Linked DNA regions of Elephas maximus indicus. The main gene of each other region encodes a partner of the protein of the gene in region 4 in a complex. Links are inferred from orthologs where the notes say so. Each region holds a gene or a part of one and is shown on either strand. Other genes may lie near its edges.

What was found.
Region 1: MED12 (region 4) and MED23 share a complex: the UniProt entries of both Homo sapiens proteins name them as parts of the mediator complex. The link is inferred for Elephas maximus indicus from reciprocal best matches to the Homo sapiens genes MED12 and MED23.
Region 2: MED12 (region 4) and MED1 share a complex: the UniProt entries of both Homo sapiens proteins name them as parts of the mediator complex. The link is inferred for Elephas maximus indicus from reciprocal best matches to the Homo sapiens genes MED12 and MED1.
Region 3: the proteins of MED12 (region 4) and CCNC are in contact, whole or in part, in a cryo-EM structure (PDB 8TQC), measured with the Homo sapiens proteins. The link is inferred for Elephas maximus indicus from reciprocal best matches to the Homo sapiens genes MED12 and CCNC. Residues at the interface, in NP_005111.2 of Homo sapiens: Ile6, Leu7, Ser8, Tyr9, Glu10, Pro13, Leu14, Lys15, Arg18, Leu19, Pro22, Asp23, Val24, Tyr25, Asn47, Pro49, Ala50, Val51, Asp54, Glu55, His56, Gly57, Ser58, Ala59, Lys60, Phe64, Pro66, Ile69, Asn72, Phe73; in NP_005181.2 of Homo sapiens: Gly3, Asn4, Phe5, Trp6, Gln7, Tyr11, Ile15, Asp17, Gln19, Asp20, Lys23, Gln49, Glu53, Leu57, Arg58, Gln59, Ile62, Tyr153, Arg157, Pro158, Gln161, Tyr162, Asp165, Leu173, Pro174, Trp177, Arg178, Ile179, Asn181, Asp182.

Annotation. Positions count from the first base shown.
Region 1 is NC_064819.1:200,455,536-200,462,622, reverse strand, and holds the start of MED23 (mediator of RNA polymerase II transcription subunit 23), read left to right. Parts: upstream 1-4,073; 5' UTR 4,074-4,252; coding exon 4,253-4,300; intron 4,301-4,616; coding exon 4,617-4,648; intron 4,649-4,808; coding exon 4,809-4,896; intron 4,897-7,087. UniProt on the Homo sapiens protein: Required for transcriptional activation subsequent to the assembly of the pre-initiation complex. Component of the Mediator complex, a coactivator involved in the regulated transcription of nearly all RNA polymerase II-dependent genes.
Region 2 is NC_064837.1:46,799,762-46,807,032, reverse strand, and holds the start of MED1 (mediator of RNA polymerase II transcription subunit 1), read left to right. Parts: upstream 1-4,268; 5' UTR 4,269-4,481; coding exon 4,482-4,506; intron 4,507-6,711; coding exon 6,712-6,818; exon of another isoform or gene 6,819-6,838; intron 6,839-6,847; exon of another isoform or gene 6,848-7,271. UniProt on the Homo sapiens protein: Component of the Mediator complex, a coactivator involved in the regulated transcription of nearly all RNA polymerase II-dependent genes.
Region 3 is NC_064819.1:164,409,156-164,417,069, reverse strand, and holds the start of CCNC (cyclin-C), read left to right. Parts: upstream 1-4,908; 5' UTR 4,909-5,183; coding exon 5,184-5,215; intron 5,216-7,914. UniProt on the Homo sapiens protein: Component of the Mediator complex, a coactivator involved in regulated gene transcription of nearly all RNA polymerase II-dependent genes.
Region 4 is NC_064846.1:98,567,396-98,574,640, reverse strand, and holds the start of MED12 (mediator of RNA polymerase II transcription subunit 12), read left to right. Parts: upstream 1-4,225; 5' UTR 4,226-4,455; coding exon 4,456-4,554; intron 4,555-5,069; coding exon 5,070-5,174; intron 5,175-5,386; coding exon 5,387-5,578; intron 5,579-5,712; coding exon 5,713-5,872; intron 5,873-6,365; coding exon 6,366-6,547; intron 6,548-7,066; coding exon 7,067-7,177; intron 7,178-7,245. UniProt on the Homo sapiens protein: Component of the Mediator complex, a coactivator involved in the regulated transcription of nearly all RNA polymerase II-dependent genes.

The DNA.
Region 1 (7,087 bases), on a different chromosome or scaffold from region 4:
CGTGAAGAGAGTGCTTCTTAGCTCAAGTATTACATGAGACTAAATGGGCAGCTACTGTCCAGAGGGGAGATGAGAAGGCAGAAGGGGATGGGAGCTGGTTGAATGGACACAGGAAATCCGAGGTTGAAGGGAGGAGTGTGCTGTCACATTATACGGAGAGCAACTAGGGTCATATAACAATGCGTGTATAAATTTTTGCTTGAGAAACTAACCTGAACTGTAAACTTTCACTTAAAGGACAATAAAATACATCCATCTATATCTATCTATATCTATATCTATATCTATATCTATATCTATATCTATATCTATATCTATATCTATATCTATATCTATATCTATATCTATATCTATATCTATATCTATATCTATATCTATATCTATATCTATATCTATATCTATATCTATATCTATATCTATATCTATATCTATATCTATATCTATATCTATATCTATATCTATATCTATATCTATGCCATTATTCCCTGTCTTTACGCATAAGAATATGACCCAACTGGAGCTGGATTCATGAGGGTCCACAATCAATTGGGCCCTGAGGTATAAAGACAACACTGAGGACAATCTTGGAAAACATCTTGTAGAGAACTTTTCAAATAACCTCATAAAACAGAGCACAAAAACACTTTCCACTCTTATCTTTTTCTATTAACATTTAGTGAATAGTAAGATTTGTTAGACCAGTGAGGATCCTCCTGACTGCCCTTACTGAAACCTGTGCCAAAGATTACTAAGAAAGACAATTTGAAATGTAGAATCACAGTGACTTAGCAGTTTTTAGCCCAGTCCTACACCATTCTCACAATGGTTCTTATGCTTGAGCCCATTGTTGGCAGCCACTGTCAATCCATCTCATCGAGGATCTTCCTCTTCTTTGCTTACCCTCTACTTTACTAAGCATGCTGTCCTTCAGGGACTGATCCCTCCTGATAACATGTCCAAAGTATGTGCCATGGATTGAATTGTGTCCCCCAAAAATATGTGTATCAATTTGGCTAGGCCATGATTCCCAGTATTGTGTGATTGTCCATCATTTTGTCATCTGATGTGACTTTCCTATGTGTTGCAGATCCTAATCTCTGCCTGTGGTTAATGAGGCAAGATTAGATTATGTTAAGGAGGATTAGGGTAGGATATAACACCCTTGCTCAGGTCACATCCCTGATGCAATGTAAGTTGAGATTCCCTGGGATGTGGACTGCACCACCTTTTATCTTACAAGAAATAAAAGGAGAGGGAAGTGAGCAGAGAGGGGAACCTTGTATCACCAAGAACGCAGCATCGGAGGCAGAGTGCATTCTTTGGACCAGTGGTTCCTGTGCAAAGAAGCTCCTGGACCAGGAGAAGACTGATGACAAGGACCTTCCTCCAGAGCTGACAGAGACAGAAAGCCTTCCTCTGGAGGTAGCACCCTGAATTTGGTCTACTAGCCTCATAGACTGTGAGAGAATAAATTTCTCTTTGTTAAAGCCATCCACTTGTGGTATTTCTGTTATAGCAGCATTATATAACTAAGACAGTATGTGAGACATAATCTCGCCATCCTGGCTTTTAAGGAGCATTCTGGCTGTACTTCTTCTAAGACAGATTTGTTCATTCTTTTGGCAGCCCATGATATATTCAATTTTCTTTGCCAACACCATAATTCAGAGGTGTCAATTCTTCTTTGGTCTTCCTTATGTATTGTCCAACTTTTGCATGCATATGAGGCAATTAAAAACACCATGGCTTGGGTCAGGTGGACTTTAGTCTTCAAGGTGACATCTTTGCTTTTTAACGCTTTAAAGAGGTCTTTTGCCCAGGTTTGCCCAATGCAATGTATCGTGTGATTTCTTGACTGATGCTTCCATAGGTGTTGATTGTGGATCCAAGTAAAATGAAATCCTTGGCAACTTGAATATGTTCTCCATTTATCATGATGTTGCTTATTAGTCCTTGTCTTAGTTATCTAGTACTGTTATAAGAGATATACCACAAGTGGATGGCTTTTACAAAAAGAAATTTATTTCTTCACAGTAAAGTAGGCTAAAAGTCCAAATTCAGGGCTTCAGCTCCAGGCGACGGCTTTGTCTCTCCGTTGGCCTTCTCATCAATCTTGCCCCAGACAAGGACCTTCTCCGAGCAGGGACCCCAGGTCCAAAGGATGTGCTCTGCTCCCGGCACTGCTTTCTTGGTGATGTGAGGTCCCCCGCCCCTGCTCGCTTCCCTTTCCTTTTTGTCTCTTGAGAAATAAAAGGTGGTGCAGGCCACACCCCAGGGAAACTCCCTTTACATTGGATCAGGGATGTGACTTGGGTAAGGGTGTTGCAATCCCACCCTAACCCTCTTTAACATAAAATTACAATCACAAAATGGAAGACAACCACACAATACTGGGAATCATGGCCTAACCAAGTTGGCACATATTTTGGGGGGACACAATTTAATCCATGACAGTCCTATTGTCAGAATTTCAGTTTTCTTTATGTTGAGGTGTAATCCATACTAAACGCTGTGGTCTTTGATCTTCATCAGTAAGGGCTTTAAGTCCTCTTTACTTTCAGCAAACACGGTTGTGTCATCTGTGTAATGCAGATTGTTAATGAGTCTTCCTCCAATTCTGATGCCCCTTTCTTCTTCATATAGTCCAGGTTCTCAGATTATTTGCTCAGTTTACAGGTCGACTAAGTATGGAGAAAAGATATAACTCTGACACTCACCTTTCCTGACTTTTAAACCATTCGGTATCCCCTTGTTTTGTTCAAACTACTGCCTCTGGGTGTATGTACAGGTTCTACATGAGCACAATTAAGTGCTCTGGAGCTCCCATTCTTTGCAATGTTCTCCATAATTTGTTACAATCCATACAGTCGAATGCCTTTGCATAGTCAATAAAACACAAGTAAATATCTTTCTGATATTCTCTACTTTCAGTCATGATCTGCCTGACGTCAGCAATGATATCCTTAGTTCCATGTCCTCTTCTGAATCTGTCTTGAATTCCCTGGCAGTTTCCTGTGGATGTGCTGCTTCAGCCACTTTTGAATGCTCTTCAGCAAAATTTTACTTGTATGATAAATGGAAACCCTGGTGGTGTAGTAGTTGAGTTTGGCTGCTAACCAAAAGGTTGGCATTTCGAATCCACCAGGTGCTCCTTGGAAAGTCTCTGGGGCAGCTCTAATCTGTACTATAGGGTTGCTATGACTCAGAATCAACTCGACAGCAATGGGTTTTTTACGGGTGAAATTAACGCTGTTGTTTGATAATTTCTGCATTCTGTTGGATCATCTTTCTTTGAAATCGGCATAAATATGGATCTCTCCCAGTAAGTTGGCCAGGTAGCGGTCTTCCAAATTTCTTGGCTTAGACAAGTGAGCACTTCCAGTTCTCCATCCATTTGTTGAAACATCTCAGTTGGTATTCTGTCCATTCCTGGAGGCTTGTTTTTCACCAATGCCTTCAGTGCAACTTGGATCTCTTCCTTCATACCATAGGTTCCTGATTATATGCTACCTCCCGATATCGTTTAAAGTCAACCAATTCTTTCTGGTATAGTGTTATTAGTACTTAAAAAATGGTAAATATTTTTATTATTAGATGACTATACCTAAAAAGGTAGATTTTATTCTTTGATGGTTCGAATTAAAATTCAGTAGTGATGCATTCATATGTCCTTTTTGTCTGGCACTCTGCTAGGCCACCTCGGTCACCATACTTAAAAAGTCATGGTACCTGTGAAGAGAAGTGTTGTTTCACCTCAGGGCTCTAGGCTGCACCAGAAGGCCAGGTGCTCACAGAAAGCTGGTTGGTCCAGGCCGTGGCAGAAGTTGTTTTCTGCAGGCTGCAGCCCCTAGGCTCTATACCTTCTCCCCAGTCTAAGAGTTTTAGGAAGCAACTCCTATTCCAGCCAGAGGGTGGCGGCCTGCAGCCGACAACGCTTCTGGGTGTCTTGGGCTTGAGTATCCGCTTGAGGGCGCGCTCGCGAGCAGCCCTTCTGCACAAGCGGAACTATCTGGCGGGCCTCCTGGTTTGGGGGGGGTTCTGTAATCGGCGCGTACCCACCTCTCCGGGCTTCCGTGCAGCCTCCAGTTGTGTGCGGGGCCCTGGAGAAGACGTTTCCGGCTCGGTGCTTGGAGAGGAAAGTGACGCGGGTGAGAGCCGCGGTTTTTTCCGGGCGTCTCCGCCCCTTTGGCCCTCCGTTCCCGAGGCTCGGGCCAGACCCCGGCCGCGCTGGGACCCACAGGAAGGTGGGGCGATGGTGCAGATGGAGACACAACTGCAGAGCATTTTTGAGGAGGTGGTGGTGAGTGGAACTAGTCGGGGTCCCGGGCGATGCAGCGGGAGAGGCGGGGGCAGCGGATCAATTAGGTCGGCCTGGGCAGCCGCCTCCTCCGTCCTCGTTGCGACGCGGTGTGAGTGTGCAGGCGTTGGTGGTTCTCAGGCTGGTGTCACGCTCAGGGTCGCCTTTGAAATCCCCAGCTCTCTGGTGACAGGCGGCGGGTGCCGGTAGTTTCTGCACGTTGCCCATTGAGATGCTTGTACTGTGTCGTTAGGGGTACCACCCCCCTCCGTTTTTTATTTGTTTACGTGTGTCTTTTTTTTTTTTAATTGTTTTACAGAAAACGGAAATTATAGAAGAGGCGTTCCCTGGGTGAGTATAATGCATGGCAGATTTTTATGTTTTTACGTGAGGGTGTCTTTGTAAGACAGGTTTTTCTTGGGTTCTGTAAAATCGACTGTTCTAGTTATGATGGATTGACTTTTTAAAGCTAGTGGCAAATAATATAATTTTGGGTTTTTTGTTTGTTTAGCATGTTTATGGATACCCCTGAAGATGAAAAAACAAAACTTATAAGCTGTTTGGGGGCCTTCAGACAGTTTTGGGCTGGTCTTTCTCAGGTGAGCACTGCATTTTTAATATATTCAGCTGATGATTTGGGGGTTCCCTCCCCCGTTTTATTTTTTACATTTACTTTGATGGTATTGTTAAGTTTTTTTCTGGAAAAGGAGAGATCAAATCGTTATATTTTTTCTCTTATTTGTCTCTTTTGGTTTCCATTTGTTTTAATTTGTGTACTTCCCAGTGGAAATCTGTATTGAGAAGTCATGATGATAGCACAGTGTGGGATGTCTTTATGATGCTTTTTAAAAAGTTCCTATGTTAGATTATGTAAGACGTTTTCATCCTATTCTGATTTATTTGGTGACTTGCAAACAGCTGTGTTAGGCATTGTAAAGAATATAACTTTCACTCATTTATGGATAAGAGGAACTGGCACAGTATTGAAACAAAGACTATCATGAAGATACAATAATCCTATAGTAAAGATACAAAGATACCACAATATAGATACAAAGAAATTATAATAGGGATACATGCATAGTATAATAAAAAATGGGCAGAAGAGCAGTAAAACTTAGTTAACAATCACCAGAAAATGTATCCATGAAAAAGACAAAATGTTTGATACTTAAAGAGGTCATGTTGGAGTAGTGCATTACAGGTAGGGAGATGAGAACTGTTTGCAGTTGAGCTGCTGCTGGTAAAACATGCCACTCAGACATAGATCACGCAGTGGCCGTACATTAACTTTTTGTTTGTTTTAATTGTCTTCTTATAGATAATACAAGCATGTGGTTCAAAATACAAAGGAGTAGATCCAAAGAATAGTTTCTTCGCATCTCTTTTAGATTGATCCCCTGTTCTTTTTCCTGTCTGCAGTCATTGTCCCCAGTTTAATAATTTATGAATATAGAATCATTTTATAGGGTGGTCATATACTGTGCACACTGCTAATTACCAGCTTGGCTTCCCCCTTTAATGATAAATTAATGTTTATTATTAATAGATATTTAATAATATTCATTGTTATTAACAAATAACTTTTAATAATGACAGTAAATTCTCTTTTTGCCAAGGCTTAATATTCCATTGTATGTCTGCACCTTTATTTAACTGGTCTCCTACAGACTGACATTTAGGTTGCTTCTTTCTTTTTCCACTTTAAACAATGCTAGAATGAATGATAGTATGCACAGGACATAGGATAAATTTCTGGAAGTGGTATTGCTGGCTTAAAGGTTATGTCTGTTTATAATTTTTATGGAAATTGCCAAATACCAGTTTCTACCTGGTTAACAATGTCTGAGGAGCCCTGATGATGCAGTGGTTAAGTGCTCGGCTGCTAACTAGAAGGCCTGGCAGTTCGAACTTACCAGCCACTCTGAGGTAGAAAGATGTGGCACTCTGCTTCTGTGAAGATTACAGCCTTGGAAACCCTATGGGGCAGTTCTACTCTATCCTATAGGGTCAGTATGAGTTGGAGTGGACTTGACAGCAACAAGTTTAGCAATGCACGAGAGCCCTCAGCCCAGCAATTCAGTAGAGACAAATTCTGAGAACCACTAGTAGAGCAGTAATTCTTAAAATGTATCATATGTAAGAATCACTGGGAATCTTGTTAAGAACGTAAGTTCTTATTCAGTATATCTGGAGTGGAAATAACAAATTCACAGAAGGGGTTTAAACCAGAATGAACCATTTTGAAGCCCTGAAGTGCAGTTAATAATAACTGCCTTCAGCAGTTATTAAAACTATTTGGACAATGTACAGCACAACTTGATCAAGACAAGGTCACAGAAGCTTCACAGACAAATGCAAACTCCTTGAGGGACTGAACTGTGGGGCCACGAGCTGGGGACCACAGTCTTGGGGGATATCTGGCTCAACCGGCGTTATATAGTTTATAAAGAAAATGTTCTACATCCTGCTTTGGTGAGTAGCATCTAGGATTGTGAAAACTTGTGAGCAGCCGTCTAAGATACTCCGCTGGTTCCACCCCATCTGGAGCAGGGGAGAATGAAGAAAACCAAAGATACAAGGTAAAGATTAGTCTAAAGGACTGATATATCCAACTACCACAGCCTCCACCAGACTAAGTCCAGCACAACTAGATGGTGCCAGGCTACCACCTCTGATCTCTCTGACAGGGATCACAATAGAGGGTTCTAGGCAGTGCGGGAAAAAAATGTAGAACAAAAATCAAATTCACAAAAAAAAGACCAGACTTACGGGTCTGACAGAGGCTGG
Region 2 (7,271 bases), on a different chromosome or scaffold from region 4:
AACTCACTGCCTCCTAAGCTTCCTATGACTTTTGAGTTTCTGTTAAAAAGAAGACCAAAGTTTTTCAAGGTAACTTTTTAATTGTCTATGGAAGTAAAACTAATGCTATCCAGAAAGAAGAAAAAAAAAAAAGATGACTCAAGGACTGGAATCCAGGTGTGGTAACTTCTCATTTGCTGCTTCGGGAGGGCCTGGATGTAAAAGCCCCCACTATATACCTGACAGGATGGCAGATGGCACAAGGCTTAATGGGCTGATGAGACAAAGTGACTAGCCCACCTCGAGTTCAGCAAAACTTACCCCCCAATTTTTTTTTTTTTTTTTTACATTTTGACAATTTTTATTGTACTTTAGATGAAGGTTTGGAGAGGAAATTAGTTTCTGATTAAATAACACACATATCACTTTGTGACATTGGTTGCCAACCCCAGGACATGTCGACACGTTCCCCTTCTCAACCTTGAGTTCCCCGTTACCAGCTTTCCTGTCCCCTCTGCCTTCTAGTCCTTGCCCATGGGGTGGTATGCCCATTAAGCCTTGTTTTGTTTTATGGGCGTCTCTAAACTCTAGCTGAAGGGCGAACCTCAGGAGTGAGTTCAGTACTGAGTTACAACGGTGTCTGAGGGCCATACTCTCAGGGTTTCTCCAGTCTCTGTCAGACCAGTAAGTCTGATCTTTTTTTGTGAGTTAGAATGTTGTACTACATTTTTTTTTCGCCCCAGCTCTGTCTAGAACCCTTTATTGTGATCCCTGTCAGAGCAGTCGATGGTAGTAGCTGGGCACCATCTAGTTTGCTGGACTCAGTCTGGCAGAGGCTGTGGTAGTTGTGGTTTAAATCTTTTAAATGAGATCAAATTTTTGACCTAGGATGCACTCAAGGTAAAATGAAAAAGTGAAGATTGCAGAAGGCATTATGGGGATACATCAAATAAAATTTGAAAGAATAAAATTCATAATTCTAGATTAAACAGCACTAGAAACATTCCTAATTATGTTAGTTGCCTCTTGAAGTGGACTAGAGACCACCTACGAATGAGTGAAGCTTTTTACCCAATCTTTGAACATTTATAATATGTACCTGTAGCACTTTTCAATTTTCCACAGAACTCTTTTAAGCCTATCAATAAATATCAGTTGAACAAATTAGGAACCTGGTAAGGTGGCCAGGATGAGTATTATATCCATCTGATAAATGTCAAAATTGAGACTCAAAAGGAATATGATTTGACCATGTTTACACCAAGTCTAGGAAGTGCCAGGAGGAGGATCAGGTCTCTCCTTAATCCTAAACTGGTATTCTTTCTTCTGCATACTTCCTATTTTTGCTGAATAAAACTCTAATAAATCTCAGGTTTTCCCAAATTTTTAAATAGAAAATCTATCCTAACTACAGCGTTTGGCCCAATAACTGGTAAGAATAGCGCTTTTGTAAAATAAACTTTGAACTCAGAAATTCCAGGTCTGTGCGGTTCGCATTATTTGCATAACCTCCTAGGACAGAGGTCAGGGAGACTCTGAACCTGAAAGTGTCAAGTCAAGTGGTGGCAATACTTTTTCTGTAAATTCCCCAAAACAGGTCAGAAAGTTTCCTTTTAGGTTGTACACATAAGAAATATTTAACTAAAGTTACAATACTCCTCCTCCACCTCTCACAAACCAATTGGTTAGTTTAGATTTCAGATTTAAAGCGTCCTTTGGAGTCTTCCTCAAAGCTTTTCTGGATAAAATTTGCCCATCATTCCCATTTTGCCATATTTATGAAGACTGTTTCTATGACTACTGTGAATGCTTTTCTTGTTCAATGACTGTCCTATCTTTCCTCCTAGTGTACACATTTTTTAACACTATCCTTTCATCTGCATTTTCAGTCGATAAAGTTTATAACTTTTCATTCTATTCTGTGACTAAAGTTTGATAAAAGTTTCTGTATTTACAAACTTTGTAAATTTAAAATTTCCCCTACGCTTGGTACAGACATTATTTTTTACTTGTATAGCCTCCAGGCGAAAGTATGGCTATATATCTGACATTAATGCTTTGGGCATAATAATTAATTAACAAAGATTTTAAAGCACCTATTTTTTATGATTATAGTGAGGTCCCTGGGTGGCACAATTTGTGCTCAACTACTAATCTAAAGGTTGGTAGTTTGAACCCACCCAGCAGTGCCATGGAAGAAAGCCCTGTCAATCTGCTTCTGTAAAGATCACAGCCAAGCAAACAACATGGAACAGTTATACTCTGTAATACACTGTGTTGCCATGAGTCAGAATGGACTCGCTGGCAATGGGTATGGTATGGGTATGATAATGGCCAACCATATTTTCAGAACTCTAAATCAAGTGAGGCCATCAAGGGTTTTCAAGGGACTGTGTTTTCATCTTTATATCACTAGCTCCTAATACATACATATTAGACCACATAGACGCTTGTTAAATGAAGAGCACTTTGACAGCAAGAAAGGATAGAGCATTTTAAATATGAACTATCTTGAAAAATTCTTTTGAATGAATGCTCTCTGTGTTCATCAGTTTTAGGGTTGGCAGATTTATACAATATTCATATTACATAATATTTGGGACATACTTTCACATTAAAAAAAATTGTTTATCTGAAATGAAAATTTAACCAGGCATCCTATATTTTATCTGACAACCCTATCAATTTATTCTAGAAATATGCATTGCATCCCTGATGTGTGTTAGGAGCTGTGCTAGGCACTCAGGAGACAGCAGTGAAGAAATGGACCCAGTGCAGTACTCCTGGAGCTGACAGTCTACCAGGGAAGACAAGGCATTCAACAAACCACACAATTAATTTTGATGGTGAGAATGCTATTAAAAGAGAACTTTGAAACAATATAAGAGTACCTGATCAGGTCAGAGAAGGCTTAAATCGAGATCTGAATAAGAAGACCCTAGGTATAGTGGGGAAGTAAGGCCTATTTGAAGCCCCTGGGGGTGAAAGGAGTGCAGGAATTTTCTGGAAATGAAAGGTCACTGTTGCTGGGGGTGGCAATGGGGTAAGAGCTGGGTCTAGCAAGGCCTTGTAGGCTCAGTAAAAGATTTTCCTATTAGATCCAAGTACAGCGCTAGGCAGTGAGGATTCAGAAATGAGGGACAATTACTCCCCCAAGAAACTCACTGTGTAGTGATTCAAAGGTATGAGGATAAGAGGACTGAACAAGAAATAAAGTTTGAACTTCATTTTCAAGAAGCATTGTTAGAGATAAATCTTTGTGGCAATAAACACATCCCCATACATTTCCAAGTATTTGTTCTTACTAAGTTTACACTGCTGTGCCTGCTCACCTGAACTGCAGTATCTGTTGGGATGGCTTTGGAAGATGTCTGAATAACATTTTTGAAAGGTGGGAAATGCCTGAGACTAGAAAGCCTGTATTAGTACACTGCTTAATATTCTTGTAGCGAACTAGGTAAGACCAACTTTTCAGTGGTAATGTTATTTTCAAAGATGTGTGTATAGAAAAAATACATTAAAAAACCTTAGTTTTAACTACTTTAAGAACTTTCCCTTAATGCTAGCCTTGTTGTATTTTAGCCTGGTTCTTCAGTTCCATTGGCCAAGACCTTCTTATCACTGTTGCAAATTTCTCTTTAAGATTTACTGTATACAAAAGGTACGACTACATATTCTTTGTGATTTAGTGTAGAGAACTAGTTAAGCCGCTTGTTTTCACTATGATTACAAAGACAGGGCAAAATCAATTGTGATCCCATTTGGGACCTTAAATATAATTAAGACCAGCAGAGACTTCGCTGCAAATAAATTTACCTTATCCCAAAATCCCTCAGATCTTCAAAAATAGTGGAATTGCTCAAGAAATATTTCTGAAATTAAAAATGTAAACAAACTAGAATATGTGAATTAAGTATGTTGGGCTGACTTCGAACACCGTGTTACAAAATGCCGATATCTTTTAACAATTATTTCATCTAGCAGTTCACAGAAAAGGTATTATCTTTAATAAAATCTGATACTAATGTTTTTCGAAGAAATAGTCTTTCAGTAAGGAAAGCCGAAGTTTATAATTTGTGAACTGTTCAACTGCCAAAGTGGAAAGAACCTCTTTACTACCGCAGCCGGAGGCTTTCCGCTCGCAAGCTCAAGGCCCCGGTACGTGAGATGTGAAAGAGTCAGGAGTGAAGGAAAGGCCGGGCCACAAGAATCTCGCGAGGAGCGTGAATTAACTATTTTTCGCGACATTTTGATGCCCTGCCCCTTCTCTCGCAGGATCCCGGTTAGTCTCGCGATCTTTGGGAAGTTCCGTTGGGGAAGATGGCGGCGGCCGCGAGCACCCTTCACTTCTTGCCGCCGGGGACTTCGGACTGAGCCTTCCCGGGAAGAGTGGGGACTACTGGTGCCCTGCGTCCCGGGAACCGGAACCAATTTGGTTCCCCCGTTGGTGGGGAAGGACTAATCCTCTTGTGTGGCAGACTCAGGCCTTCCCCACCTCGAGGATGAAGGCTCAGGGGGAAGCCGAGGGTGAGTGAGGGGGAGAGAAGAGGGCGGGACACGATTGGAGGAAGCCAACCGGTGAGAGGGGCTGAGGCCGATGCCCCATGGGCGCCACTCTCCAGAGGGCTCAGAGTCCAGGAGGCAAGATGTGTATGAGTTTTAGACTGACCGTGCTTTCTCAGGTGATGGTGAAGTTCCAACTTTGGGGTGATGGGGGCTTCCAACTTCTGTGAAGGTTTCCTGCTCTACTGGGGCAATCATTTGGGTCTCAGGGCACTTTTAGCCTAAAGTGGTGGGAAACCAGGTGAGTGAATCTAAAACTGCTTTTACCTGGTGCAAGAAGAGATGTCTGAATAGCGACATAAAACTAACAATACAGAGCTGCATGTAAAAGTACTGGAGGATGTTTTGGTGTGAGTGGGATGATTAGGATCTTATGATATTAAAAGCCAGCAGTTCCCTAGAATACCACAGTGTTCAGACCTCGTGCTATTGTATATTTTTAAAATGCTTTGAATTTCATCCTTCCAGTGGCCGGACTAACTTACAACTGCTGAAAAATAACTTTTCTGTGGAACCTTACCCAGCCCCTCTAAAGTTCCAAGCTCCAGTTTAAATTCTTCCTTAGCATTTTGGGCATAGTTCTGCTAAAACAACTCCTTGTGTTATTTTTGTTTACTTATCTTCTTCACTTTATCCTAAGCTTTGTGGATTAGGGACCCTGCCTTCCTCATCTTTATGTAGTCCCTGGCATAGAATAGCTGCTTTAAAAAATGTCGATTTGAGCATCCAAGAAAGACGGATCTTGTTTTAGAAGATCTTCTCCCTCTTGCATCAACTCTGATTGATGACATTCTATTCATTTTTCAATGCTAGCATCAACTGTTATCTTTTTTGTAACATCCCCACAACTGATCATGAACTTTTTTTCCTTTGAATTTCAGTAGTGATGTGTTTCTGTTTTTGAGAGCATATCTCACTTTGCTTTGTGTGACTGTTATTTCCACGTTAACTTATCCACATCCTTCACATATGTCATCTCAGACATTTTATATGTTTTTGCTTTTCCAGTGGTCTTTAGCACAGCTCCTTGCTCATACTGGGTAGCTTAAGAATTAGAGGAGGGTTGGAGGGCACATACTTAGTCCAAAAACCACTCTTGTCTACCTTTCTCTTAGCTCTGCTGGAGATTCATCCTCTGGTCATAGATCTTTTCCGTGTCCATGTAGTTTTAGTTTAAACTCAAATAAGAAATACCTGAATGGCTAACAGAGCCTGATTTCTTTTTTTTCATAATTTATTTTATTTTCTTGTTGTTACTGTTGTTGAGACTATATTCCGCAGAACATAGACCAATTCAACAGTTTCTACACATACAGTTCAGTGACATTGATTGCATTCTTTGAGTTGTGCAACCATTCTCACCCTCCTTTTTTGAGTTATTCCTCTGCCCTTAACATAAGCTTACTGCCCCTAAGTTTCCTACCTAATTTTTCAGGTTGCTGTTGTCAGTTTGATCCCATATAGATAGATCTTCAAACAAACAAACAAACCCAAAAGAGCCTGTTTTTTTGATCCCGTTGCTGTTGAGTTGATTCCGATTCATAGCGACTCTATAGGACAGAGTAGAATTGCTCATAGGGTTTCCAAGACTGTAAATCTTTATGGATGCAGACTGCCGCACATCTTTCTCCCTCGGGCTGGCTGGTGGATTTGAACCTCTGACCTTCCAGTTAGCAGCTGCGTGCTTAACCATTGCACCACCAGGGCTCCTTTGTTTTTTTGATAGCACCTACAAATTGATCTCTCAAAATTATGTCAAAATATTTAGGAAGTCAGTGTTTTCACATTGAATACCAATTAGCCATAGTAAGGCCATGTTCAAATGTATGCTCTACATCTGTCATGCAAGGGGTTTCGTGCATATCATGAAATGACTTTGTCACTGAATTGTAGCTTAATCCTGAATCGTGATTAGAGATGGACCTTCTTTTGATTACTCTTAAATGTTTAAATAGAAAACAGCCCTGCTGTATGGTATTCCTTAGGTCAGACCCATAATTTGTGTCTTCCCACCATTAAAAATACTTTGTATGTTTTGAAGTAAATAATAATGAAAAATATTTCAACTGAGTTTTTGCTGGGGTGAAGTTGGAGTTTTCTTTTGCAAGAAAAACTGTGGAAGGGCCTGGTAAAAGAGTTTCTAATTATTCTTTCTGATTTATGTCATAGAGTCAGAAAAGCTGAATAAGATGAGTTCTCTCTTGGAACGACTCCATGCAAAATTTAACCAAAATAGACCTTGGAGTGAAACCATTAAGCTTGTGCGTCAAGTCATGGTGAGGATTGTGGTAAAGTGGTATGCTTAAATAATTATTTAATAAGCTGACATCTTTATGTGGGCTTGTTCAAACTATAGTCCTTATAGTGTGTCTTCAGTTTTATTTATCATCAAACACTGAGTACATGGTGGCTGTCAACATTAGGAATCTTCCTGAGAAGGAGGTGTATTTATAAAATTGTGTTAATCGTGAGTACACTGGGGTATTTCAGGCAAAAGTGCTAAGTAATGCACCTATAAGGGGCACATTTGATGGACTGGTATAAGGAGATTTTATTCTTCACTTCCCATGAAGTTCCCTTATACTGATCTTATAGTACTTTTGATGTGTCTGCATTGCTAGTAGAGGTTGTGATTTCATTACTAATAACAGGCAAACCCTGGGCTTTCGCTTGTCTACTCTTTCAAACTCTTTCTCTGCAATACTGCTACTTCTTCCCCTGATCATTCA
Region 3 (7,914 bases), on a different chromosome or scaffold from region 4:
GTGTATAACAACAACAACATAATAATTAATATTTTAAAAGACTCTTTGCCAAAATAAGTTCCATTAATTTTTATAAGGTGAAATTTTAAAGAGATTATGCCATTTTTTCTTCTCAGCATATTAAATGTCTTTGAACAGAAGAAGTTTTGAACAAGAGAATATATAAAAAGCATAAGTATGCTTACTGATTTCTAGTCACTTACAAATAAGTTTAATGCTTGAGAAATGGAGCAAATAAAATCAATGCAATTTGGTGTCATAGAAATGTCTAGTTGAGCATCTCAGTAACACTAGTAGTAATTTTTGGGTCTTCCAGAGCAAGTAGGATTTCAAATACAGTTTGTCAGAGAGGCCAGAATTTATACCAGATGGGCCATTTCCCTCTTTCCTGGAACACCCTGTGCTTATAGCCTCACATGTTCTTTGTTGTACTCCTTCTTCTTTCTCCTTATATGCCAATTAAGATGTTCTTGGCTGCGGGTAACACAAATGCCAACTCAAAGTTGTTTAAACAATAAAGGGATGTATAATTTCACCCAACAAAAAATCTACAGGCAGGTGCTCCAGGATTGATTAATTCAGTGGCTGCACAATGTTGTCACCAAGAATCAAATTTTGCCCTGTCTTCCAGTTCTATCATACTCAGTCTGACTGTCTTGTCCTCCTGGTCATAAGATATGTGCACACCATAGTTATCACAAACAGCAGAGGTTCTCTAGCACTATTGACATTTTAGGTCAGTAATTCTTTGTAGTAGGAGACTGTTCTGTACATTATAGGATTTTTAACAGCATTTCTGGCCTCTACTTGCTACTTGCCAGTAGCACTACCCCAAATGTAACAAGCAAAAATATCCAGACATTGCTAAATGTCTCCCGGTGGGGGAGGGTAAAATCACCCTAGTTAATAACCACTGGCAAACAGACACATTAACAGTATAGTAGATGAGGGACTAATTTTTTTGTCAAAGGCTTTAGATATAAGACCAAGAAAGACCTTGTCTGAAGCTCTAAGCAGACTTCCCCTCTGTTGCATTGGCCAGACTTGCTACACGTTGTGATTGTTAAGGTTGTGTGTCAACTTGGCTGGACCATGATTCTCAGTGGTTTGGCAGTTATAACAGTCTGGCAGTTGTATAATAAATGTAATCACCTCCATGATGAGATCTGATATAACGTGATTGCCTCCATGATGGGATCTGTTGTGAGTAGCCAATCAGTTGAATGGGTGTTTCCTTGGGTGTGTGGCCTGCAACCAATATAGGTGGACTTTCTAGCAAGATTTGTGGGCTTTTGCTCCCTCTGGATCCTGCAGCTGGCTCCTGTTCATTGACACATAAAATTAACCATCACACTGTATTAAACTAAACAAGAGTTCATATTGCAATCTCTGACTTTATTACCACAGAATTCATTCTGGTCTTTGATTTTTTGTAACTTCTTTCTCTGGCAGTGAAAGACTTGGCTCCCATTATCTACCATCAATTTACTTTTTTTGTTCAACCCCACTATACATGTAAAGCAGGTTCAGAAAACAAATTTACAAACTACAATACAGTATTTATGTGCAGTTTTTTTTTTCTCTTTAGCTTCACAGTCTTTGATTAAAAACAATTTTAAATCAAATTGTTTATACAAAAGGAATCCCCCCTCCGAAAGACCCTGTACTATAGGGGAAGTCCTGTTCTCTTACTACCCTTAACTCACCCCTTTAGGGTTATCCATTTAATGACTTGATGCATATATTTCCACATTTTTCCCCTTGCTCATATACAAGCATATATTATGTGCATGTGTATGTCTGTGTCTGCATTTGTGTTCTATAGAAGACATTTGGTCTGAGGGTAGAGTATGGGAACTAGAATGTTTTAGAAGCAGGTAACTCTAAAATACAGCTAAGATTAAGGACTACTGCTCTAAGCCAATTGTGGTAGTTTTCATCAGGGCTACCTGTAGGTATGCGTGGCCCCGGACAATTTTTTTTTTTTTTGTGAGACATCTAACTATATAAAAAACAAGCAGATGAAAGAAATTAAGAAAATAATGATGTAGAGTAAGGATGACAGTTCATGATGTAGAGAAAAGCATACAAACGAATGTTACAACAATCAGAATCTACGAAGTAGACAGAAAATACACAGAATAGAGGGATAGCATAGGCCAGCTGGGAACAGGAAAACAGAGGAAACACACAGAGAAAAGTTGGCTTTGGTTCTTGACAGTTTTCTAATTACAATTCTCCTGTCAATCCATGAGTCTTTTCACAATGAACTATAAATTTCCAGAGGTAACTTTAGCAAGTCTCTATTACTTGCACCAAAAGAATTATAATATATAGTTATGAAATAAGTATGACTAAGAAGAAGGAAAGGAGTTGGCCAACGTGCCAGGGATAAAGAATACAATGGAAGAAGTTAGAAGTGTATTCAGTCCATAGCCAGGTGATAAAATCCATTCTGAGTTTCTGTTTGAAGAGAAAAGTGTATCAAGGTCAGATATCACCTGGAGAAGGCCACTGAGACAAGTGGACTTCCCCAGAACCACTCATTCAAGAAGACTCAGAAACCTGAGCTGCCAGCTTCCAAAAGAAAAAACCCAAACCCATTGCCATCGAATTTACTCTGACTCATAGTGACCCTAAAGGACAGAGTAGAACTGCCCCGTTGAGTTTCCAAGGAGCACCTGGTAGATCTGAACTGCCGACTTTCGGTTAGCAGCCATTGCCCTTAACCACTTCGCCACAAAGCGAAATTATCTCTAAGGTGTGGACGCACATTAGTCAAGCTCACAGAAACTCATATATCAAAAGTCCAATATCAATTTATTGATTTATAAGGATAATAACTACCAAATGGATCAGATCCTTTTGTTCACTCCTCAGAGTATTTTCTGTCTACAGGCAAATTCCTGTGGAAAGACAAATTATTATCGGAAGGTTGCTTGGTAAGCATGGAATTAGATCAATGGGAGTTAGTGCCTTCAAGCTATAACAACCTGATGCAACTCAATTCAACCTACACTTACCAAGTACCCTCAGATGTAATTTCCCCTGAAGCTAATACTTTCTAAGCTTTAGGCCCCTGTAAGTGATGGGAGCTGCTGGACAATTGGTTGTCTGAAAAGGGAAGGAGAGCAGGGTTGCAAACAGGAAGCATTTTTATGTAACATTCCTGAAAAATTGCCTAAAGAGTTTACAGCAGACAGGGACCTTGTTGTAGTTTCCTAGTGCTGCTGGAACACAAATACCATGACTGGATAGCTTTAAAGAAGAAAAATTTATTTTCTTGAGTTCTGGAGGCTAAAAATCCAAATTAGGGTCTCAGCCATGCAGATTCCTTCCTTGTAGCCCTGGGCATTACTTGTTTCTTGGTAATCCTCAGAGGCATCTGTCTTCCCCTGTCCTTGTTTCTGTGTTTAATCGGCTCTTTTTATAATTCAAAAGTGATTAGGTTCGGCTACAACAGATGACTGCCCTGACAGGGAACACAACAGAGAATCCCTGATGGAGCGGGAGAGCAGTGGGTTGCAGACCTCAAATTCTCGTAAAAAGACCAGACAGACTTATTGGTCTAACTAGACCAGAAGGACCCCGGAGGTCATGGTCCCCAGGCCTTCTGTTAGCCCAAGACTGGTACCATTTCCAAACCCAACTCTTCAGACAGGGCTTGGACCGGACTGTAAGATAGAAAATGATACTGGTGAGGAGTGAGCTTCTTGGCTCAAGTAGACACATGAGACTATGTGGGCAATTCCCGTCTGGAGGGGAGATGAGAAGGCAGAGGGGGACAGAAGCTGGCTGAATGGACACGGGGAATAAAGGGTGGAGAGGAGTGTGCTGTCTCATTAGGGGAAGAGCAAGTAGGAGTACATAGCAAGGTATATATAAGTTTTTGTATGAGAGACTGACTTGATTTGTATACTTTCACTTAAAGCACAATAAAAATTTTTTGGAAAAGTGATTAGGTTTAGGACGTTGATATGGCCTCATTAATATAACATTAGATTGCATTATGGAAAGTAATTATATTACATTATATCTACAGGTATAGGGATTAGGATTCCAACACATATTTTAGGGGGACACAAATCAATCCATAACAGACCTGAATCTCTAAGGCTTTACTTTTTGTTGTTTACCATCCAGTTGATTCTGACTTGATAGCGACTTATAGGACAGAGAAGAACTGACTTCATAGAGTTTCCTAGGCTGTAATCTGTAAGGGAGCAGATTGATAGCCCTTTTCTCCCTCAGAGCTGGGTGGGTTCAAACCACCGACCTTTCAAAACTTGTTATAATTTCTTTTTGTATTGTAAACATTTACTTTTTAAACCTAATTTTGCATTAATAATGTTATATTCTTTTTCTTGGAAACCCTGGTGGTGTATTGGTTAAGTGCTCCGGCTGCTAACCAAGAGATCGGCAGTTCAAATCTGCCAGGCGCTCCTTGGAAACTCTATAGGGCAGCTCTACTCTGTTCTGTAAGTTTGCTATGAGTCGGAATCGATTCGACGGCAACGGGTTTGGGTTTTTTTGGTTTTTACTATGTATATTCTCAACAACAAAATAATTTTTTTTTTAAAAAAAAAGGACATGTTAGGCTTGGTGCCAGTAGATGTCGGTAAGTCTGTGAGGCCAAAATAATTTTTCTTTTCAATAGCCGAAGAAATAAGATAAATCAAAAAACCTAATGGTCTATTACAATACCATTATGCTGTCTCAAAGGCCTTGAAGATGCAATAACAAAACCCAGTACTGCGATCCTCCCGTCAGGCTAACTCCACTAAACGTAGCCAGTTTTGATGACTGAACACCAAACCATCCAGCTCCAGGAGAAACAGGCGCGAAGCTCTCGCGAGACTCTACCAATACCCAGGAGCTCCCGTGAGCACCAGTTCCCGTCTCCTAACCTAGCGCGCTTACAGGCCGTCTCCTCCCCGCCGGCTTCTTCCGCTACCGCGGGGCGGGCCGGAACCTTTGTTAAAGGGAACGAGTTTACACAGCAGTGTTGCCGGCCGGCATCAAGGAGAACAGCGTGGCATCCTCTTCCTCTCGCCGTTGCGGCCGCGGAGCGGAGCTGAGCTGATTATAGTCGAGGAGCTCGGTTACCGGGCGGGCTGGGTCTATGGTCGCTCCGCGGGCCGCTCCGCCTGCTGGTGCTTTTTTATCAGGGCAAGCTGTGTTCCATGGCAGGGAACTTTTGGCAGAGCTCCCACTAGTAAGTGATCTCCCGTCTTCCGTCCAGGGCCGGCACTTAGGGGTCTGTAAGGACGGGGCCTGCAGCTCCCCTTGGCCTGCATCCTGGTCCCTGTCCCGAGCGCCTCGGGGTCCTCCCGGGAGTCGGCGGCGGCCGGCAGCCGGCAGCGGGATGCGCTGTTTTGAGATGACTCCCCTTTTCCTGCCCCCCTAGCCCGGTTTCGGGGAAGGATCTGTGACCCGGAGTGGTGGGGACAGGGCAGTCTCCGAGAAAGGGAGGTTGAGGAGTTTAATTTAGGATTGTTGGATTAGCTAGGCCCGGGATGGGGAGGGGGTTGGGTGATGGCTCCGGGTGTGGGAAGTGTGTCTCAGTTGTGGACTGTGAGGTGGGCTCCTCAGGATGGCTGTGGCTCGATTTTGCCTGGGATTACTTTAGAGGATCGGCACCTGGTCTTTTGTCATTCACCGTCTATCTTGAATGTATTTAATAATGTTCCGAGGAGGAGGGGGAACTCCGTGTTTCTTCTCACTAACCACTTCCTGCCACTACCTTATGCCCAGATGGAGTTTTATGTTGGTAGGTGATACAGCAGGTGCTTGCAAGACTTAGCCATTTCATTATTCTGTGCCTTGTATTTTGTTTTGTAAGTGTTTTCCAGTGATTTTGTTTGCTAGTTTACAATTTTTCGTAAATAAGTTTTTGTTTCTGTCAGTGATCGTGGAAGAGCTAGAGTTATATTAAAAACATTTTTCCCTAAGTGCATTTGTTTAAGCAGGCAAGAAGGTGGGTGATGGGGCTAATTAAACATTGACTAGACTTTTCACTGGAAAGTTGAAATAGGAACAGAACGTGATAAGACTGTACTTAGTGTAAGTAATTTTTAATGGTAAGAGTGTTTGTAACTAATTTCAACTTTGATTTTATGAATAGCATCGGTTCCTTTCTTTTGTTTTTTGGCCCTTTCCCGAAGAAAAAAGGAACAGTGGCCTTGGAAACCTATTTGCAGAAAAGCAGGTCTTCCTCTTTGCTCTAAAGTAATTCTATGGTGCTGAAATGCTCTAGAAGCTTTACAAATTATACCATTTTTATTTTGTATAGTTTTTTCACTCACTGAAATAGTTGCTTGGGCAAAGTTAAAATATAGAAGGCATAGGTAGTGGAGAAGAGTATTCTTATAAACTTGGAGAGAAGCTGAGAGAACTTCAGGGAAGCTGGCAGTTGGTCGTCAGAAGTTAATGCAGTTTTTTAGCTTTTAGAAAAGAGACCCTGTCCCCCTTTTGATGAGCATTCTCATTATGCTTTCACTTACTATTGGCATTATAGAAACAGTTGTTTTTTTCACTATTGAGATATAAAGTTATTACAACATTAAGTGTGCTTTTTTGGAATTGCCCCTGCCTGCCAATTCAAATAGTCCTGAAGGAAGGGGCCACTTTACCTCACTTAACTCCCTTGATTATCATGAAGTCCTTTTTCTGTAAAAGATAACAGGTATGAAATACAAGACAATCAATTCGTGAAAAAAACAAAAAGATTATGAAAGGACATTGCTTTAGGTACGTATCAGAGATTTTGATGAAAGAGGAAACGTCATGAAAAAGATTGTATTTCATGGCTTATAAGGTGCACATTTTCACATTTTAACTTCTCAGAAATTGGCATGGCAGTTTTTTTTTCTTAGTAACACATGAAATAATGATGAGTTTTACAGCCAGTGGAATCTTAAGTTTGATGAAATGTGGTATTTATAAGTCTTGGTTTATTCTCTATACAAAATGCTGGGAGGAAATTTTTTAAAAATATTTGTTTCTGAAATTTATCTTTTTAAAAAGATAAAATGACTCTGTGGAAATGAAATTAGTGTTAATTCCAGGACAGAGCAAGTCACAATATATTCCAGAAAATTGAAGTAGCACAAAACATTCTCTGATCACAATGTGGTAAAACCAGAAAGGCATTAAATAAATATTTTCAGGTTGGTTGAATGAATGAATGAGCACGTAACAAAAATAAAAACTACAAAACCAACTCTGGATGCTTTATTGTATCAAAGAGGAAACTGAAAATACAGTTACATAATATCTAGAAAATAATATAATGAGATCAATATATATCAGTATTTATGGAATGTAGCCATGCTGAACGTAAAAAAATTAAATTATTGAATGAGAAAGAATAAAAATAAATTTTTTAAAATTCTACCTAAGAATATTAAAAAGGAAACAGTGAAACAAACCTAAGGAAAATAGAAGGAAAGACTTAATAAAAGTAAAACTTTTATTAATGTAATAAAAGGGAAAAAATTGTCAGAAAATACAAGAGCTGGTTTTTTGGGAGGGAAAACCAAGACAATAGGCTGGATAAACTACTGCTGATTGAGACAAGGAAAAAAGGGATGATGTAAAAATATAAAATTAGGAATGAGAAAGGTAAATGAACCCAGATATACCTTTGGACTATCTGTATGGCATAAATTAGAAAGCAAATTAAGAGTTATCAGAACGACTTCGTAAAAATGCTCAAGGCCCACACATTATTTCCTGCATAAATTACCCTCAACTTTCAAGAGGATCATAGCTCTGCTATTGAAATTGTTCCATTTCACACAGAAAGGAGGAAATGCTTTCCAGTTCTTTTTATGAAGCCATTATAACACTGGTGATAAAATCTAGCAAAGGAAGCACTAAAAACCTGTCTCACTTTTGAATATTGATTCAAAG
Region 4 (7,245 bases):
CCTCTCTAAAGCCCCTCTGCTCTCTAATCCATTCTTCATCCTGTTGCCAGGTTTACCTTCCCCAAAACACAGAAGAGCTGACTGGAGACACTACTTGCAGAAATTGTTTATTCAGCAAATACGTATTGAGCCCTTACTATGTGTCAGGCTCTGTGTTTGTGTTTTGGGAATATACAAATGAATAAGATATCCTCACCCTTCTAGGAGCTCATAGCTAAGCAGGGATGATACAAGCAAATAATAAAACACAGCGTAATAAGTTATAGAGCATAAATATGGAGATACTGCAAAGTGTGTGAACACAGAAGAGGAAGTAACTAAATTTACCAGGATGGGGGGGCGGGGGAATTAAGGGAAGGCTCAGCTGGAGGGGTGCTATTTTAGAGGAATCATAAAGAATGAGTGGAATTTTACCAGACAGAAAAGGGGCAGGACATCAGGCAGAAGAAAAGAGCATTTGACTTGGAGTCTCAGGACATCTGGATTATAGTTTTCTTTTCATAGCTATTATTTGAGCAAATAATTTATCCCCTTGGGACTTACTTAAAAATAAGAAGCTTGTATTGACACCCTCTAAAGTCTCTTTTAGCCCTAATGTTCAAGGGTGTATTAGTTTCCTAGGGCTGCCTTAACAAATGACCACAAAGTGGGTGGCTTACAGCAACAGAAATTTATTCTCCAACAGCTCTGGAGACCAGAAGTCCAAAATCGAGGTGCAGGCAGGGTTGGTTCCTTCTGAAGGCTTTGATGGAGAATTCATTCCAGCCTTTCTGTAGGTTTTGGTGGCTGCCAGCAATTCTCGGCCTCCATTGTCACGTCACCTTCTCCTCTGTGCCTCCTTTCCCCTTCTCTTCTCTTATAAGGTCACTTGCCATTGGATTTAGGGCCTACTCCAATCCAGGATGATCTCGTCTTGAGATCCTTACTTCAATTACATCTACAAAGATCCTTTTTTTTCCAAATAAGATCACATTCGCAGGTTCCTGGTGGACATATCTTTTGAGGGCCGCCATTCAACCCACTACAGAGGGCATTCTCCAACTTAAAAGTCTTCAAAAGCTACCCATGGCCTTCAGGGTAAAGTCCAAATTCCAATCATCACATCCAGCCATATTGGACATGTCATAGGCATTTACTCTCTGACTGGAATTGTTGCTGTTGCTGTTGTTGTTGTCACTGCCTTTGAGTTGGCCCCTGAGTCATGGTGACCCCATGCACAACAGAACAAAATGCTGCCTGGCCCTGTGCCATCCCTATGATTGGTTGCAGATCTGACTATTGTGGTCCATAGGGTTTTCATTGGCTGATTTTTGGAAGTAGACTGCCAGACCTTTCTTCTTTCTTAGTCTGGAAGCTCTGCTGAAACCTGTTCAGCATCATAGCAACAGGCAAGCCACCACTCACAAATGGGTGATGGATGCGTACGAAGTGCATTGGCTGTGAATTGAACCCAAGTCTCCCACATGGAAGGTGAGAATTCTACCACTGAACCACCACTGCTCCCATCTGACTGGGATTAGCCTCTCCCTAATTTTCTGTGTAATTGGCTACCTAAAGGTTAGTAGTTCGAACCCACCCAGCAGCTCCATGGAAGAAAGGCCCGGCAAACTGCTTCTGTAAAGATTATAGCTAAGAAAATCCTATGGAGCAGTTCTAACTTTCTAACACATGGGGTTGCCATGAGTTGGAAATCGACTTGACGGCAACAAGTTGTTTTTTTGTTTTACTTTTCTGTGGGAGTCCCTGGGAGGTGCAGACCTTTAACGCACTTAGCTTCTAATGGAAAGATTGGAGGTTTGGATCCACCCAGGCGCACCTCAGAAGAAAGACCTGGCAATCTACTTCCAAAAAATCAGCCGTTGAAAACCTTATGGAGCACAGTTCTACTCTGGCACCCATGGGGTCACCATGAGTTAGAATGGACTCAATGGCAACTGATAATTCTCTGTGGATTCAAATCCTTCAGGGTAAACTTAAATGTTACCTCCTCCAACATGTTTTCCTCTCCCCAATCAGAATTATTCTTCCTACCCTCTAAACCCACTGCCATCGAGTCGATTCCAACTCACAGCGACCCTATAGGACAGAGTAGAACTGCCTTTCGTACTTTTATTATAGCACTCTAGCTATCTCATCTCTAAGAGGTGATACCCTACTAAAAGAATATCGATTCTGGAGTCAAGAAGGGATTCTAGTTCTTCCTCTGTTACTCACTGGTTGTTAGGTGCCATCGAGTCGGTTCTGACTAATAACGACCCTATGTACAACAGGACGAAACTGCCCAGTCCTGAGCCATCCTCACAATCATTGCTATGTTTGAGCCCATTGTTGCAGCCACTGTGTCAATCCATCCCCTTGAGGGTCTTCCTCTTTTTCACTGACCCTCTGCTGACCCTGGTGGTGTAGTGGTTAAGAGCTGTGGCATACCTTTCCAGATTTTGAACCACTTAGTATCCCCGTGTTCTGTCCGAACAACTGCCTCTTGATCTATGTGCAGGTTCCTCATGAGCACAATGAAGTGTTCTGGAATTCCCATTCTTCGCAATGTTATCCATAATTTGTTATGATCCACACAGTTGAATGCCTTTGCATAGTCAATAAAACACAAATAAACATCTTTCTGGTATTCTCTGCTTTCAGGCAAGATCCATCTGACATCAGCAATGATACTCCTTGTTCCACGTCCTCTTCTGAATCCAGCTTGAATTTCTGGCAGCTCCCTGTTGATGCACTGCTGCAACTGCTTCCGGATTATCTTCAGCAAAACTTTACTTGCGTGTGATATTAATGATATTGTTTGACGATTTCCCCATTCTGTTGAATCATCTTTCTTTGGAATGGGCACAAATACGGATCTCTTCCAGTCAGTTGGCCAGGCAGCTATCCTCCAAATGTCTATGAATAGACAAGTGAACGCTTCCAGCGTTGCATCCGTTTGTTGAAACATCTCAACTGGTATTCAGTCAATTTCTAGAGCCTTGTTTTTCACCAATGTTTTCAGTGCAGTTTGGACTTTGATCATATGCTACCTCCTGAAATGGTTGAACATCGATAAGTTCTTTTTGGTACAGTAACTCTGTATTAGCTGTATAATATTGGGCAAGTAAATCAGCTTCCTTACCTGTAAATGGGGACAATAATAATCCCTAACTCATGGGGTTGTTTGTGGATTAAATGAGATAATGTTTGAAATTCATCTAACATTTAATAGGTGCCTCTCACTTTTTTTTTTTTTCTCGCTAGAGCGATGGTTCTTAACCTGGGATTCATGGCCACTTAGGGAATACATAGATGAGCTTTGGGGATCTAAAAATATTCCTGGAAAATATCTGACATTTTGTATGTCCATATGTGCATTTTTCTGGGAAGAAGGCCCATAGCTTTCATCAGCATCTTGAAGGGCTTGTGAATCAAAAAAGATTAAGAACCTCAACACTAGACCATATGAAGGCTTCTCCAGGTTAGAGAAGGAGCCCTGGTGGCGCAGCGGTTAAAGCCATGAGTGCAAACCGAAAGATTCAAAAAAAAAAAAAAAACCTGTTGCTGTTGAATCGGTTCTGACTCACAGCAACCCTACAGGACAGAGTGGAACTGCCCCGCGGGGTTTCCAAGGAGCGGCTGGTGGATTACCAACTGCCGACCTTTTGGTTAGCAGCTGTAGCTCTTAACCACTGTCACCGGGGCTCCTAACTGAAAGCCTGGCGGTTCCAAACCATCAGCGGCTCCGCGGGCGAAAGATGTGACAGTTTGCTTCCTTAAATATTTACAGCCTTGGAAACCCTGAGGGGGTCCCTATGAATGAGAATCTATTCAACCGCAGTGGGTTTTTTTCTTTTTAGAGGATAGAGACAGCCTTTCAGGGCTTGATAGGTGCTTTCTTATGCATACATAGTTTTTAGTCTTCTCAACAGTCCTTTGAAGAACATAACAGTATGCTCACTTTTCAGTTGCAGAAACGAAGAAGTAGCTTGTAGAAGGCAGTTTCGAATCACTGCGAATAATTATTGAGAAGCTTTTCTAGGCCAAGAACTGAGGTAGGCGCTGGGAACCCAATTTCAGTCACAGCTCAGAACCCTGGTTCAGCACCACGGCTGCCTCCGCCTTTGGAAGTTTGTATCTCCAGCACAGTACTTGGCTCAAGAGCGTTTCACAGACTTTTTTTGCTGGGTGAAATAGATTTTCCGCCGCTCGGTAGGAAAAGCTTTCTGGGCACGGAGCTCCACCCCACGCTGGGCCGGCCCCGCCCCCACTGCAGTCGGTATTGTCGGACGGTTCCCGGTGTCCCTCGGGTTCACTCGGTAGTTTCCGGCAGTGATCGAGAGTTTGTAACGTTCCCCCTCGTTGTCTCTCGGCCGCGTCCCCCCAACTGCCGCCCCCCTTTTCGGCTCCCTCTCCCCCTTTTCCCCCGCCTGAGCCTATCCCTGCTGGCGCTTCTGGCGCTACGGGCTGGGCAAAATGGCGGCCTTCGGGATCTTGAGCTACGAACACCGGCCCCTGAAGCGGCCGCGGCTGGGGCCTCCCGATGTGTACCCTCAAGATCCCAAACAGAAGGAGGTGCGTTCATTAATCGGGGCTCTTGCGGGACTAGGGACAAGCGATCAGCACAGGAGGAGGCATTGACGGCTTGGGGGAGGGGGCGAGGCGATTAGGTGGGAGCAAAGTCCCGAAAGGGGGAAGAGTAAAGTGGGGCGGTGTGGGAGAGTAGGACCTAGCTATGGGGGCTTCTGGCTATAAATAGGGAATGATGTAGGGGCCACACCAGAGGCATCCCCCCACACGTATACACATACGCTTCAGAAAGTTGTCTGACGGTAGCTTGGTGAGGTAAGGCTGTTCTCTAGGGAAGAGTGATGTTGAGGGAGTACTGGGTGGTTGGGAATCTTAGTGACTGAGGAGGTGAGGGTGGGGTCCAAATGAGTAAAAGAGCCTAGCCTTAAATAACAATCTATTTTACTCAGAATCATCCTTCTACCCTTTTTCCTTGTACCTTCCCTCCCCTTGCCCTCCTCTTTCACCCTTCCTACGCCCAGGGGGGGAAAAAAAGCTAAAATGTCATTTTCCTGCCTTAGGATGAACTGACGGCTTTGAATGTAAAGCAAGGTTTCAATAACCAGCCTGCTGTCTCTGGGGATGAACATGGCAGTGCCAAGAACGTCAACTTCAATCCTGCCAAGGTGAGGCAACCCTGCCAGACTGAAGGGAAAAGGCTGGAAGAATCTGAGAAGGAGCAAAAGCCCTGGGTTGGGAAGACTTAAAGAGACAATCTAAATGGCTGAGTTTTCCATTGTAACCTAATGCCACAACAATGGTATTTGTATATCAAAGGCACAACCAACCACCTATCTGCCCCTTCTTCCCACCCTGAGGTATAGTTTTCTTCCCTCAGATCAGTTCCAACTTCAGCAGCATTATTGCAGAGAAGTTACGTTGTAACACCCTCCCTGACACTGGTCGCAGGAAGCCCCAAGTGAACCAGAAGGACAACTTCTGGCTGGTGACCGCACGATCCCAGAGTGCCATTAACACCTGGTTCACGGACCTGGCTGGCACCAAGCCACTCACACAACTAGCCAAAAAGGTGAGATACTCTTTCCTGTTCTTCGGGCCAAGGGGGGAGTGTGGATACCAAGTATGCTGCTATTCCCATATTAAGCTACATCGATACCAGCTCATGGGGTAATAGAAACCTCACTATTTGTTATGTCCATCCAGGTCCCGATTTTCAGTAAGAAGGAAGAAGTCTTTGGGTACTTAGCCAAATACACAGTGCCTGTGATGCGAGCCGCCTGGCTTATTAAGATGACCTGTGCCTACTATGCAGCAATCACTGAGACCAAGGTTAAGAAGAGACATGTCATTGACCCCTTCATGGGTGAGTAACTCCTAACACCAGGTGTATCACTGACCCTTTCTAAGAATGATAAATCCTTGGAATTATTCTCTTTCCTAAACTATATTCCATTCTTCCGCTTGTATCTTGCATTCACTCAATTAGTAAACATTGAGTATCTTGAGTATAAGTAATATGCACGTACTGGGCTATAACGATGACTAGTACATAATTCCTGCCCTTCGCGTGCTTATTGTCTAGTAGGGATGTTAAGGCACATGTACAAATAACATAATTAAAATATAGAAAGTAGCAAATGTTAAAAGAGGAGGCAGAAAATTCTTTGAGACTTCAGTCAGCAAAAAGTTTACTTTCTTTGGTGGACAACTGGGAAGGCTTTAGGAAGGTGGCATTTGACTCTAGCCTAAGAAGTTGAATAGGATTTATAAGTATGTGATTGGGGGTGGGGGTAGGGGACAGAAGAAATTCTACACAGAGGGACAGTATAAAATAGCCTCTTCTATCTTTCCTCTAGAGTGGACACAGATCATCACCAAGTACCTATGGGAGCAGCTGCAGAAGATGGCTGAGTACTACCGGCCAGGGCCTGCAGGAAGTGGCAGCTGTGCTTCCACTATCGGGCCTTTGCCCCATGATGTGGAGGTGGCAATCCGGCAGTGGGATTACAACGAGAAGCTAGCCATGTTCATGTTTCAGGTAGGGAGTAGGGCATGTAGTGTGTGGGGCATCGAACTGAGCCTTACCTTGCTTTGCTCTCTGCCAGTATAGAACAGAATCAGCCAACCACCTTGCTCCTGTTGTGGTTTCTTTCATCCTTTCATTTGCTTTTTTTTTTATAATTTTTATTGTGCTTTAAGTGAAAGTTTACAAATCAAGTCAGTCTCTCACACAAAAACCCATCTACACCTTGCTACACACTTTTTTTTTTAATGAGACAGCCCACTCTCTCCCTCCACTCTCTCTTTTCGTGTCCATTTCACCAGCTTCTAACCCCCTCCGCCCTCTCATCTCCCCTCCAGGCAGGAGATGCCAACATAGTCTCAAGTGTCCACCAGATCCAAGAAGCTCACTCCTCACCAGCATCCCTCTCCAACCCATCGTCCAGTCCAGTCCCTGTCTGAAGAGTTGGCTTCGGGAATGGTCATTTACTTTTCCTGCCTCATCTCTAATAGTCCCTAGACTGAACTAATACTCTTCCCACCCCGGTACCTATAGGATGGAATGCTGGACAGGCATGAGTTCCTGACCTGGGTACTTGAGTGTTTTGAGAAAATCCGCCCGGGAGAGGATGAGTTGCTTAAACTGCTGCTGCCTCTGCTGCTTCGGGTAAGGCACTAGGACTTGGAGGGGGTTATAGGGGGGACTTGAAGGATAAACTTTAGAGCAGTGTCCCT